Linked DNA regions of Sus scrofa. The protein of the gene in region 2 interacts with the protein of the main gene of each other region in a biochemical or structural test. Links are inferred from orthologs where the notes say so. Each region holds a gene or a part of one and is shown on either strand. Other genes may lie near its edges.

The links.
Region 1: the proteins of DLG1 (region 2) and PKP4 interact in a test that uses a peptide from one of them, tested with the Homo sapiens proteins (2 studies listed by IntAct, with this or other methods). The link is inferred for Sus scrofa from reciprocal best matches to the Homo sapiens genes DLG1 and PKP4.

Annotation. Positions count from the first base shown.
Region 1 is NC_010457.5:65,617,731-65,625,362, forward strand, and holds part of PKP4 (plakophilin-4), read left to right. Parts: intron 1-905; coding exon 906-1,037; intron 1,038-1,147; coding exon 1,148-1,338; intron 1,339-4,111; coding exon 4,112-4,664; intron 4,665-7,632. UniProt on the Homo sapiens protein: Plays a role as a regulator of Rho activity during cytokinesis. May play a role in junctional plaques.
Region 2 is NC_010455.5:132,818,751-132,822,730, forward strand, and holds the start of DLG1 (disks large homolog 1), read left to right. Parts: upstream 1-1,180; 5' UTR 1,181-1,201; intron 1,202-2,116; exon of another isoform or gene 2,117-2,686; intron 2,687-2,700; exon of another isoform or gene 2,701-2,897; intron 2,898-3,011; 5' UTR 3,012-3,041; coding exon 3,042-3,060; intron 3,061-3,741; coding exon 3,742-3,873; intron 3,874-3,980. UniProt on the Homo sapiens protein: Essential multidomain scaffolding protein required for normal development. Recruits channels, receptors and signaling molecules to discrete plasma membrane domains in polarized cells.

The sequences.
Region 1 (7,632 bases), on a different chromosome or scaffold from region 2:
AAACAATAATGAGGTTAGATTTGTCTATTTTCATTTGGAAAAAGACTAAAGGAATAAAATAAGCAAATGAGTAAGAAATTAAAGTCTCCATTGTTGGCAAACTGAAAATTCAGTACATAGTTCCATTGATTTTAGATGACATGAAATATGACATAAAAAGCTAGCCTTCCCTTCAGAAGTTTTATCACCAAGCTCAATAATATGAACTCCTGCAAGTTTTCATTTCAAAAGTTTGAGATATGGAAGATCTTTAAAAAAAAAAAAAAAAAATAGCTACTATTTTTCACCCAGAGTCTGTTAATCCTGTTGGAAGAAGCCACCTATGAAGTGAGTTTTCCACGGGGGAACAAAATCAGTTTTCAGGTTTTAATTTAATGTAATATGTAACTTAATTTATGGCTCATAGTCACGATGAAAACATTCATGAAATTTAACAAAAAATATTAATAAACTGAGTATATGGAGCACTTTCATATAGAAAAGAGTCAAAATGAGGAGTTCCTGTCGTGGCGCAGTGGAAACAAATCTGACTAGGAACCATGAGGTTGTGGGTTCAATCCCTGGCCTTGTTCAGTGGGTTAAGGCGTTGCTGTGGCTCCAAAATAGGCTGGTAGCTACAGTTCTGATTAGACCCCTAGCCTGGGAACCTCCACATACTGCCAGTGTAGCCCTAAAAGGAGAAAAAGACAAAAAAAAAAGAAAAGAGTCAAAATGATTGTGCCGTTCAAAGTGAAAATTGTCTTGTGTTAACTTATATGAAATCTTGAGGTAACAGTCTTATATTAAGATTATGCAAATAAAAAAAAAGATTATGCAATATTACTGACAAATATTTGAACCTTTTTAAGCAAGTATTTATGTAACATTATTGTTCATTTTAACTAATCAAACTTATCTTCTTGCAGATGTGCCAAACACTGGTGTAAACAAACCTAGGGTTTCTGACACTGTCCATCCCAACAACTATCTCATCAGGACAGAGCCAGAACAAGGGACCCTCTATTCACCAGAACAGACATCTCTCCATGAAAGTGAGGGTCTGTTGTATTATCTTTTAAGTATTAGATGTGCTTTTAATATTTCTTTTTTGAAAATGAGCACCTGGAGTATAAAATGAAAATATTTCCTTCTGGTTTCATTCCTGCAGGATCATTGGGTAACTCAAGAAGTTCAACACAAATGAATTCTTATTCCGACAGTGGATACCAGGAAGCAGGGAGTTTCCACAACAGTCAGAATTTGAGTAAGACAGATAATAGACCACAACATTCATTCATAGGATCAACTAATAACCACCTGGTGAGGAATTCAAGAGCTGAAGGACAAACACTGGTTCAGGTAAGCCAAACACATCAAGATCCTTGTCAAGAAACAACCTCCTAATTGAATATCTACTATAAGTATTATTAAAAGTAAAGCCAATACAATTTTGAAGTTATGAAATAAAGTAGCAAAATCATTTTACACTGTGAGTCTACAATGTTAAGGCATGAAACCTTAAAATATATTAGTTCCTACTATTGAATCCTGATCAATTCAAGACATAGGATAATAATTTTTCTGGAAGCAGCAAGTTTGGCATGAGGGGAATAGTCTAGGGAGAATATGAGAGAGCTAGGTGGAATGTTCTAGTCCCTGAGGGTTATGAATTCCTGAAAATACTAGAGCTAAAATATTCTATAAAGAGTCCTAGAGAGCAGAGCACTATTCCCACACTTGCAAAACTCAACTTGGCCATTTCTAACCAAAGTTTTTGTCTTCATCTTCAGAATTGTTCTCTGAAAACACTCTTCTTTCCTTTGCTAGAACATAGATGAAATATGTTCAATGTGTACAATAGCTATGGAAAGCTATTGTATGGAAGCATAACCTTTCTGTTAAGTTTGGGGTTTCTTACTTGATGTGATAGTCACTAGTAATAATAATAATGCATATGCATTTATAAAAACTCTTGAGCTCTGCATTCACTGCTGCTTTATTCCCATCAATCCTCCAGCATACACCAGAATTAATAGAAGTGCTACGAGTCCCAACTAGCAGTAACCAGTGAGGATGACTGTCTGTCCAAGTACCCTAGCGATTTCTCTGGAGCAGAAAAGTGGCAAGATGATCAAAAAAATTAGGCAAACACTAAGCTTCTCTTAGTACAATATAGGAAGCCCTGAAGGTACACACAGCAGTGGGCCAGGATTCCCAGTGCCAAAGGAGAAACACAGTATAACTTTGGCCCAACAGTTTAAGGGAAATTTTTAAGCATTAAGAAGCGTTTCTGTATTAAAGCAAATGCAAATATGATACATGAGTTCTTAAGCTAAGATAGGAAATCCTGTACCCCTAGCAAACTACTTCTAGCTGTACCACGCCCCACCACCTCCCCTACTTCCACCACCTCCCCTACTTCCACTATCCCACCCCAGCACCACTGTTCCTCAGAGGTACATTTACTCTTCTGATGGAAGAGTTCGGGAAGCTTTGGACTAAGTCCTTACAGGAGTTCATGTGCTTAGGTGAATTTTCTGCATCAGCAGGTCTAAAGTCACGTTTCTGAATACTAATTAACTATAGAGATTATCCATTTTGTCCCTAAAAATGGTCATGTTACCTTTTTATTTAATTTTTTTTTTACTTACAGCAAGATGATTTTGTTCCTGGAGCTGAAGATTGCAAGAGGGTCTTTAAAACTGCTTTTGCAATAAAACTGCTTTTGCATATAGTCTTGGCATCACAATTTCTAAGTATCTGGGCCAAGTGTCATCCCATTTTTGATAGTAAACAGCTAATATGTGGAATTTTTTAAAAATCACCTTTTGCACTATTAGTAAACCCCAAAAGCAGTTCTTTTTCCAATGGTCTACTAATTTTTATACCCCCTCTTTCTTGTTGTGTATTTACAGTCCCCTCCCCAGATCTCCACAGCTATTGCCTTCCCAGAATTGTTGAGTTTGAGCACACAAGTGGTCTTAGAGCAGGTGTTTCAGCCAGCCAGCTGCTTCTGACACCTGGACACAAAGAGAGTCCTTAAGTTATCCCTGTTTCTTCCTTTCTTACCCCGGCTAAAAGTGGGGTTGATGACACCTGTACTGTAGCAGTCACTGGGGAGATACCAAGCCACCCAGTCCTAGAGTCCATGTCCCTGCCTGGTCCCATCAGACCAGTGCCCCAGTCCAGCCACCATTCATTATTCTGCTGCATCAAGGAAAGGATCTGAGACTCAGTCTGGAAGAGTCTACAGATTCAAAAAAGGACCAGTCATGGCAGAAATGTTCTTCATTTCCCAGTATGGTCTTTTCCAGCTGGCTAGGCCAAGAACCCAGCCGAGATTTTGAGCATTCCTTTTGCTGGAACAAATTTGAGGGCACCTTGACATGCGTCTCTTTAAATCCACCAGCTAAAATTAAAAGCTTATAAATCAAAGGATGTAGAAACGGCTGAAATCACTAGCAGCCACACTTGAGCTAAAAGAAGAGACAGATTGGCTAAAGCGCCTGTGCACCCAAGTTGTCCCTTGAGAGTAAATTGACAGAGAAGAGTACTGCACCCCAGGCCCTATCCAAACATTCAGTTACTCCACTTTGAAAGAGTACATTCCTTTTGTTAATGGGGGCCAATCCATGAAGACAGTTCTAAAGACAATTATAGATACTCCTCTCACTATATTTAGATTAACGTATTGAAAACATTTTTTGTTTGTTTGTTTTACACAAATGCATTATCTTCGCCAAACTTTAACTCACAGGCACCACATAAGTATACTGCTCCAGTGACCCTTCACACTTGCAATACAACATATTGTGTGTTGTGGAGAATGAATAGGCAGAGGGTTAAAAAATGTAAAGACAAACGTAAAAGGAATGTTAACTGTCTTTAGATCTCTCTTTACTGGTTGGTTTTAGTATGCCGAAGGGAGAACGTAAGGGTTTAATCACCAAAAAAAAAAAGAATAAGGAAAAATTAAGATCCAGCTCTAAAGCATAGAAAGGAAAAGAAACTTAGAAGCCTAAACTAAATAGTGAGTGCACATTCTGTAGTGAGCTGTGTGCATTTTTTTCTGTAATGACAATGGAGACAAAACCCTGGATAAACCCATTCTCTTTTTTCCCCCTTTCATCAGCCATCAGTAGCCAATCGGGCCATGAGAAGAGTTAGTTCAGTTCCATCTAGAGCACAGTCTCCTTCTTATGTTATCAGCACAGGCGTGTCTCCTTCAAGGGGGTCACTGAGAACTTCTCTGGGTGGTGGCTTTGGCTCTCCATCAGTGACCGACTCCCGACCACTGAACCCCAGTGCGTACTCCTCCACCACGCTACCTGCTCAGCGGGCAGCCTCTCCGTACTCTGCACAGAGACCCGCCTCCCCATCAGCTGTACGTCGGATTGGGTCAGTCACCTCCCGGCAGACCTCCAACCCCAACGGACCAACCCCTCAGTACCAAACCACCACCAGAGTGGGGTCCCCGCTGACCCTTACGGATGCACAGACTCGAGTAGCTTCCCCATCCCAAGGCCAGGTGGGGTCATCATCCCCCAAACGCTCAGGGATGACCGCCGTACCACAGCATCTGGGACCTTCCCTGCAGAGGACTGTTCATGACATGGAACAATTCGGACAGCAGCAGTATGACATTTACGAGAGGATGGTTCCACCTCGGCCAGACAGCCTGACAGGTGAGTACAAGGTGACAGCACTGCACACAGCCCAGTGGGGAAATCTTCTGTGAGGCCTCTCTGAAATAGAAAAGGCTTCCACATCGCCGTAATGTGGGAAAAGCTTATATTTTTATCTCAGAATTTATACTGCAGACCTTAGGCTGACTTGTCTTTCAGACTTTCTAATTTTTAATGCATCTAATTATATATACATATATATTTATTTATATCATCAGACTTCTTTTACAATGAATATATGTACCCCTTCCCCTATAATATTAGGATATACAAGGTACTTTTTTTTTTTGCATTTTAGAAGAATTGGTTGGAGTTGTAAACTGTTTGTTGAAGTTTTTCATAGTGAAATATTTCTCACTAGCTAGGCCTACCCATACCCAAACCAATAAGTTATGTTAAAAGGTGTCGTCAGAATGCCTGTTCAAGGAGTTCCCATTATGGCTCAGTGAAAATGAATCTGATTAGTATCCATGAGGACACAGATTTGATCCCTGGCCTCACTCAGTGGGTTAAGGATCCGGCCTTGCCATGAGCTGTGGTGTAGGTCGCAGATGCAGCTGAGATCTGGTGTTGCTGTGGTTGTGGCGTGGGCCAACGGCTGTAACTCCTCAACCCCTAGCCTGGGACCCTCCATGTGCCACAAGTGCAGTCCTAAAAAGACCCCCCCAAAAAAGAAGAAGAAGAATGTCTGTTCAAATTTTTTTTTTTTTTTTTTTTTAGAAGTTCACATTGTGGCTGAGTGGGTTACAAACTTGACTAGTGTCCATAGTAAGGATGCAATTTTGATTCCTGCCCTTGCTCAGTGAATCAAGGATTCAGCATTGCGTGAGCTGTGGTGTAGGTCATAGACATGGCTTGAATCTTATGTTGCTGTGGCTGTGGTGGAGGCTGGCAGCTGCAGCTCCAATTCAACCCCTAAACCAGGCACTTCCATTTTCTTCAGGTGCAACCCTCAAAGGAAAAAAAAAAAAAATGTTTTTTTAAATGCCTTAATAGTGCAGACTAAAATGTGGATTTCCTTACCTACTGCCTTGATTTTTAGCATCCTGATGGGAAACGCACCAAGTTCTTACAGTTTATCTTCGTATGTCACTTGGATTAAATTAGAAAAACATCAACCATGTTGCTGATATTACAGACACTTCTGAGTTTTTTCATGATGGATTTCCCACATACTGTATAGACTTTGTTATTTTAATTCAAATGAAACTCATCTTAAGTGTTTAAATGCTATTTTAAAAGTAACATGTATACAATGGTTAAAATTAAAACTCTGCAGGAAAATATAAAATGAGAGGTGAAAGTCTCACCTTCCTCTTAACTCTCACCCAACCCCACTCCCCAGTGTATGTATCTTCCAGAATGTTTGATTACATATATAGATATATATGTTACAAACTGATGTACATGCATTTTTTTAATGCTGTTGCTTTTATATATATCTTCTAGACCTTGTTCTTTTTTAAAAATATGTCTGAAAGTTCTCAAGGGATGCCCAGGACCCTATTTTATAGATGTAGCATAATTTCTTTAATCACTTCTATTAATAGACTTTTAGGTTGTTTCTTATTTTTAGCTCTTAGAGACAGTGATACAATATATATCATTCTTCCTGCTTGTTTGCACATGGGTACTAAGACAACTGTGCGGTTCATTTCTGGACGTACAATTGCTGGATCAAAATATGTGTGTATATTTTCCTAAAGAAATTCTGTCAAATGGCCCCCAGGAAGGTTTTATAGATTTCTGTTTCCCCCAGCCTGTTTCCTAGACCTTCACCAGCCCTGCATATTGTCAAAGTGTTTCATCTCTGCCAGTCTGGCACTTAAAAAGCTGTACCTCATTGTTTTAAGTTGCCTGTGTTGAGTTGATTGAGGTCGATGATTTCATATGTTTATCAGCCGTTCTATTGCTTTTCTGTAAACCACAAGTTTGGGATTTTTGTCCATTTTTATAATTTGTAAACATTTTTTTATACTTGAAATAAATTAGCCCTTTATAATATACTTTTCAAGGGTTTTTTTGTTTTGTAATTTGTTTTCCAACTTTTTTTTTGGTATTTCTTATTTATAGAAGTTTTTGATACTTTTGTGTGATAAAATTATTATCCTTTCCTTATGGCTTCTAAGAAAGGTAAAGCCATTTTGAGGTTTTCTAATTGAATGCTTTTGCTCAGAGAATTAATATTGAACCTGATTTTGAGTTAAAGGAAATTCCTAGTGGAGAAACCACTTCTTTTTTATTCAGCCATCAGAAAGGTGTCCTTGGCTTAGATATTTTCTGTGTGCCTCTGAAACGTATGCAGCAGAGTCAGGTAGGAATCATTTATGACATTCTGCCGCTGAAGGAAACCTTAAGAGATAAATACTTCACAAGATTTCTCTTCCCCCATTCGCACCCCCCTTGTGTATGTACAACATCTATGCAGAAATCTATTTTTGTAGTAGAGTGAAAAGGAAGCCCAGGAAAGAAAGTGAGCACATAAAGAACTGTCTCCATGTTTAACCCTGAGGGCTAATCTCCTTTGGCTTAAAAAGCCTGCTTCTCTGGCAGTGCAGATGATTAGACTTTGTTTCAGGGGGGAAAAAATTATACCTAGCCTATTACAGATTTTTTTTTCTTCCAGAATACGACAGTCTTCAAAAGAATCAAAGGCTTTCTTAGAAGTATTCTAGGGAGGCTTTGTTTGCCATCATCTATCTACCTGAATGTGGATTCTAATTTACAAATATCTTTTATTCTTATTTCAGAAAGTGCTTGTCATCATATTTGCCATGGTTCTTGATTTCAAGGGATTAATAAATAACCTGCTAATTGATAAGCCTAAAGCAGTATTTTTTAATAGATTCAGACACTTGGATATTTGGTGATCATAATTTCAACAATGATGTTAAGTGTGTATAAATTACTTCCTACAGCAGAAAAATATGTCTGCCCTAAAACATTCATTTCAGTATAATCATAGCAT
Region 2 (3,980 bases):
GGTGGAACAAGGGCTAGCTGCATTCATGTCCATTCTGGACACAGCTGACCACATAGGGCTAGGAGATGACAAGAAGGAAGGGCTTTGTGCCCTCGTCTCCTTTTCCTTCTCCCCCTCCTCTTTGTTTTTAGGGGAGGACTAGGAAGACATTGAGAACTTGTACAAATTTTGTTTTTGACTTTTCAGCGGCCCCTGGAAAAACCTGCACTGGCCTTTATCCATTTGTTATTAGGCTGTGGGTCCTGAGAGCAGGGCTTGGATCTCTGTTTTTATCTCCATTTCCTGAACAATGGATGAACAGTGGGTGAAATCCCTTCCTCCTTCTCCTAAATTCTGAAGATATTCCATTCTTAGAATAGTTCCTTAAATGGAACCCTTTCATTCGCAGTTCCTCAATGAAGTCTTGATAGCCATCAGCCATTTTCACTATTAACTCTCCCCACCATTTTACTATTTTCAAAAATCCCTCTATTTAAGCTCCTTACTTTTAAGAGCTTCCTTTTGCTTTTCCATCCCATTTCTTCTTTGTAGTGTTGCTTTACCTGTTGCTCAAACTTCCATGATGCAGGAGACCATAGATTTGCTGCCAGTACCAGCATACTACTATCAAGTTGTCAAAAATCGCAGTGGAAGGAGCCCTGGACTGGAGCTAGGTGAGCTAATTCTGGGCTGCTGCCGCTGATTAGCCTATATTCTTGGGCAAATTGCTTCCCTACCCTGGACCTCTGTTTCCTTATCTTAAACTGAGAGAGTGGGTCAAGTTAGGATTCCAAGGTGCATTCCAAAAGTGAAACTCTGTGGTCAGCAAACCTCTAAACAACTGTTACACTACAAGTCTCCCCGGACTTCCCTTTATTGGCCCAAGGGTACTGTCTCAGTGAAAGGCTATCAGGTTTGCTGGAAAGAGACTTTCGATTTGAAAGACATGATCTCTGTATTTCCAGTTTTGTCACTAATTCTGGGCAAACTTAAGCAGATTCTTCTCTCTGCACCTCAGAGCAGGGAGGTAGGTCCCTGTTACGCGGAAGAGGCTCGAAGATCTGGGAGTGACTTAGAGAGGTTTTCCGGATTCTCTTTCGACAACTTGAGTGGCTCAGGCAGGGAGCGTGGTCCCGGCCCTCCCATAGTCCCGCTCCCAGGTGTAATCGAAACTTAAACTAGCCGTGCCTGCCAAGTTGCGGCTCGGCTGCGGTAGCTACAGGTGAGCTATTAAAGGCGCCGCCAGAGATTGGGGCTGATGACTAGGCGGAGGTTGCAGGCAAGGGGGAATGAATGAGTGAGTGAAAAAGAACGAATTTTCTCTTCCCATTCTTAAATGCCTTTATACTTGGAATTAATCACATAGACTTAAAAATGCTCCAATAAAACCCTCAAATTCCTATCAAATTAACGAATATCCCTATTTTACCTGCCCTTCTTTCAGTCCCCCCCCCAACTTTTACTGAGGGACTAATAGTAACTTTAAAAAAATTATTACAAAGTGTATGAGTGCAGAGACGGCGCGCCCCCCCGCCCAAACTCCTTCCTTTTCCTCCCTCCTGCGGTGGGTGGGTGGCGGATTCGACCCCTCCCCGAGCACGCTTTTCCAGGTTGGGGATCCACCTCCGGGGGCTCCAAGTACTATCTCCTGCCCAGGAATTGAAAACAGCACGTGCTTAGTGAGATTAAAGGATGTCTCGGAATGTGTGTCTTGGATCTGGTGTAGGTGAGGTTAGGTCTTTCCACACCCTGACCCTTCCGGGCCTGGCGCGCCACTTGCTTAGAAACGCTGGACACACCGGCGGGTTTGGGCGAAGAGAAGGAGGGGTAGAGGCGGGCTCTTCCAGGCCCCCCAGACCACCTGTAGAGTCTGTTTGTCAACTCCTTTGTCCTCAGAGCCACTTCGATGGCCTCCCCCTTTAAACGAAGAGGTTTGCTTAGACGCTCCCCGGGCCCCTTTCGCGTTCCCCACCCCGCTCCAGGCCCTCCTCCCCCTTCCAACCCAAAGGTAGCACAGCGGAGAGCCCCGGGCTCCGCGCGAGCCGCCTCCTCACTTCCCATTGGCTGAGAGCGCCGGGAGAGCGGTCACGTGGGGGCGCGGCAGTTCAGCTTCAGGGCCGCCATCTTGGCGGAAAGTTTGGGGGGAGAGCGGTTGGGGGCGCGGAAGGAGGCGAGGTTCCGGGGGTGGGGCGGCCAGGAGCCGAGCGGGCGAGCGGGCTAGCGGGCCGCGGCGAGTGAGTAGGCACCAGCGGCGGCGGCGGCGGAGGAGGAAGAGGCCGTGGGGGTGCGGCAACCGAGGGGAGCTCCTCCCCCGTTCCCTCACCCCTCTCTGCTTAGCTCCGCGAGCCCCGGGCGGGGCGGGGGGACGTGGAGCGGGGCAGGGCGGGGGAGCCGCCCCGAGACCGGCCGGAGCGCACCGCTGCTCGGAGCGCACGGCACTGGCAGGAACTTTGTGGCGGCGCCGCAGGTGTGGGGGCCCGCGGAGGTGTGCATGTGGGTCGCGAGGGCGTCGCGGAGAGCGGCCGCTTCCCTGTCTGGACCCTGCTGGAGTAGCTCGGAGGAAGCGAGCTGGAGACAGGCAAGCGAGAGGAGGGGTCCGGGCAGGGCGGGGTGATCAGTCCAGCTGGCCCCTTCTCTGAGCGCTTTACGGCCGCCTCTGGCTTAGGGGCCAAGGGTCGGAGCGACTTCCTCACCCTTCCAGTAGTAGGTGAGAACTATGCACGCTTCTGCCGGGAGAGGGGTGGCCCCATGTCTGGGCATTTAGTGCTCTCTTGAGAGGGAGCAGCTTTCGAGGAGAATTTTGAAGCTTCTGTCAGCTCTTAATTTGCAGGGGTACCCACCGTAGTTTAAAGCTTTCTAGATTGACTGACACTGCTGGGTTTTGAGGTTCTTCTTTTCACTTAGGAAAACTTTGCCAGGTGGGCTTTTCAAATGGGGCTGGGGGGTTTTCGATTTGAGAGTTAGGGGGAAATGCTAATTTAACCACGATTCTCTTCTTTAGTTCTCTTTCCTTTTTGTTTTGTTCTTTAAAGGTGTGTGCCTCTTCCTGATTCTGGAGGAAAATGCCGGTCCGGAAGCAAGGTGAGAATTTACGTGGGAACTCTCTTGTGGGTGTCACTTGCTTTTCCGTATGTCTATTTTGTTTTAAATATGTTTGTGTAATTCTGAAAGACATCACAATCCTACTCTTTCTGCTTCGGGAATCTAAGCCTCACATCATTCAGAAGATGGAAACACCTCATTGTTGGTCAAACTTTTTTCCTTGTGTCTCTCTAGTGACTGGAGAGGCAATTCACTTTTTTTTCTGAAATGTCTTTTTTAAAATTCTGTGTTGGTGTTTCAATATTTGGCTTTATTATTACTAAGCACTATTTTGTGGGCTAATGTGGGAGACTGGCTAAGAGCTAGTAATTTTGAAACAATATTTGGGTTATAATGATGAGTTGTGGATAATCCGCTTTTGTATATCAGATCACCTGAAACTATATTACTAATATTTTGATCAAGTGATCTTTTATGGGGTAGACTGCTAGTACACATTTATTACAAACTACTCACCTTTTGTTCATCTACCGTGACATGTTTAAATTTTTTTTGGATCATTCTAGGGAATATATTTGTGTGCATGATCATATAGCATGGATTGACTTGGAGGGTTTGGGGAACTGTTTAGATGTCTTGCACAATCATTTGCTACACAGCTAACATGTAATATTTTCTTGTAAATATATAATTTTAATCAGACTTTTTTATTCTTTTCAGATACCCAGAGAGCATTACACCTTTTGGAAGACTATCGTTCAAAACTAAGCCAAACTGAAGACAGACAGCTCAGAAGTTCCATAGAACGGGTTATTAACATATTTCAGAGCAACCTTTTTCAGGCTTTAATAGGTGGGAATCAAAACTTTATTGGTGGTCATTATGTGTCAGCTAGACTTATTGTTTCTCTGAATTCATTTATTTTAAACTTAAAGAGAGTGATGTATTTGGTTCTCTGT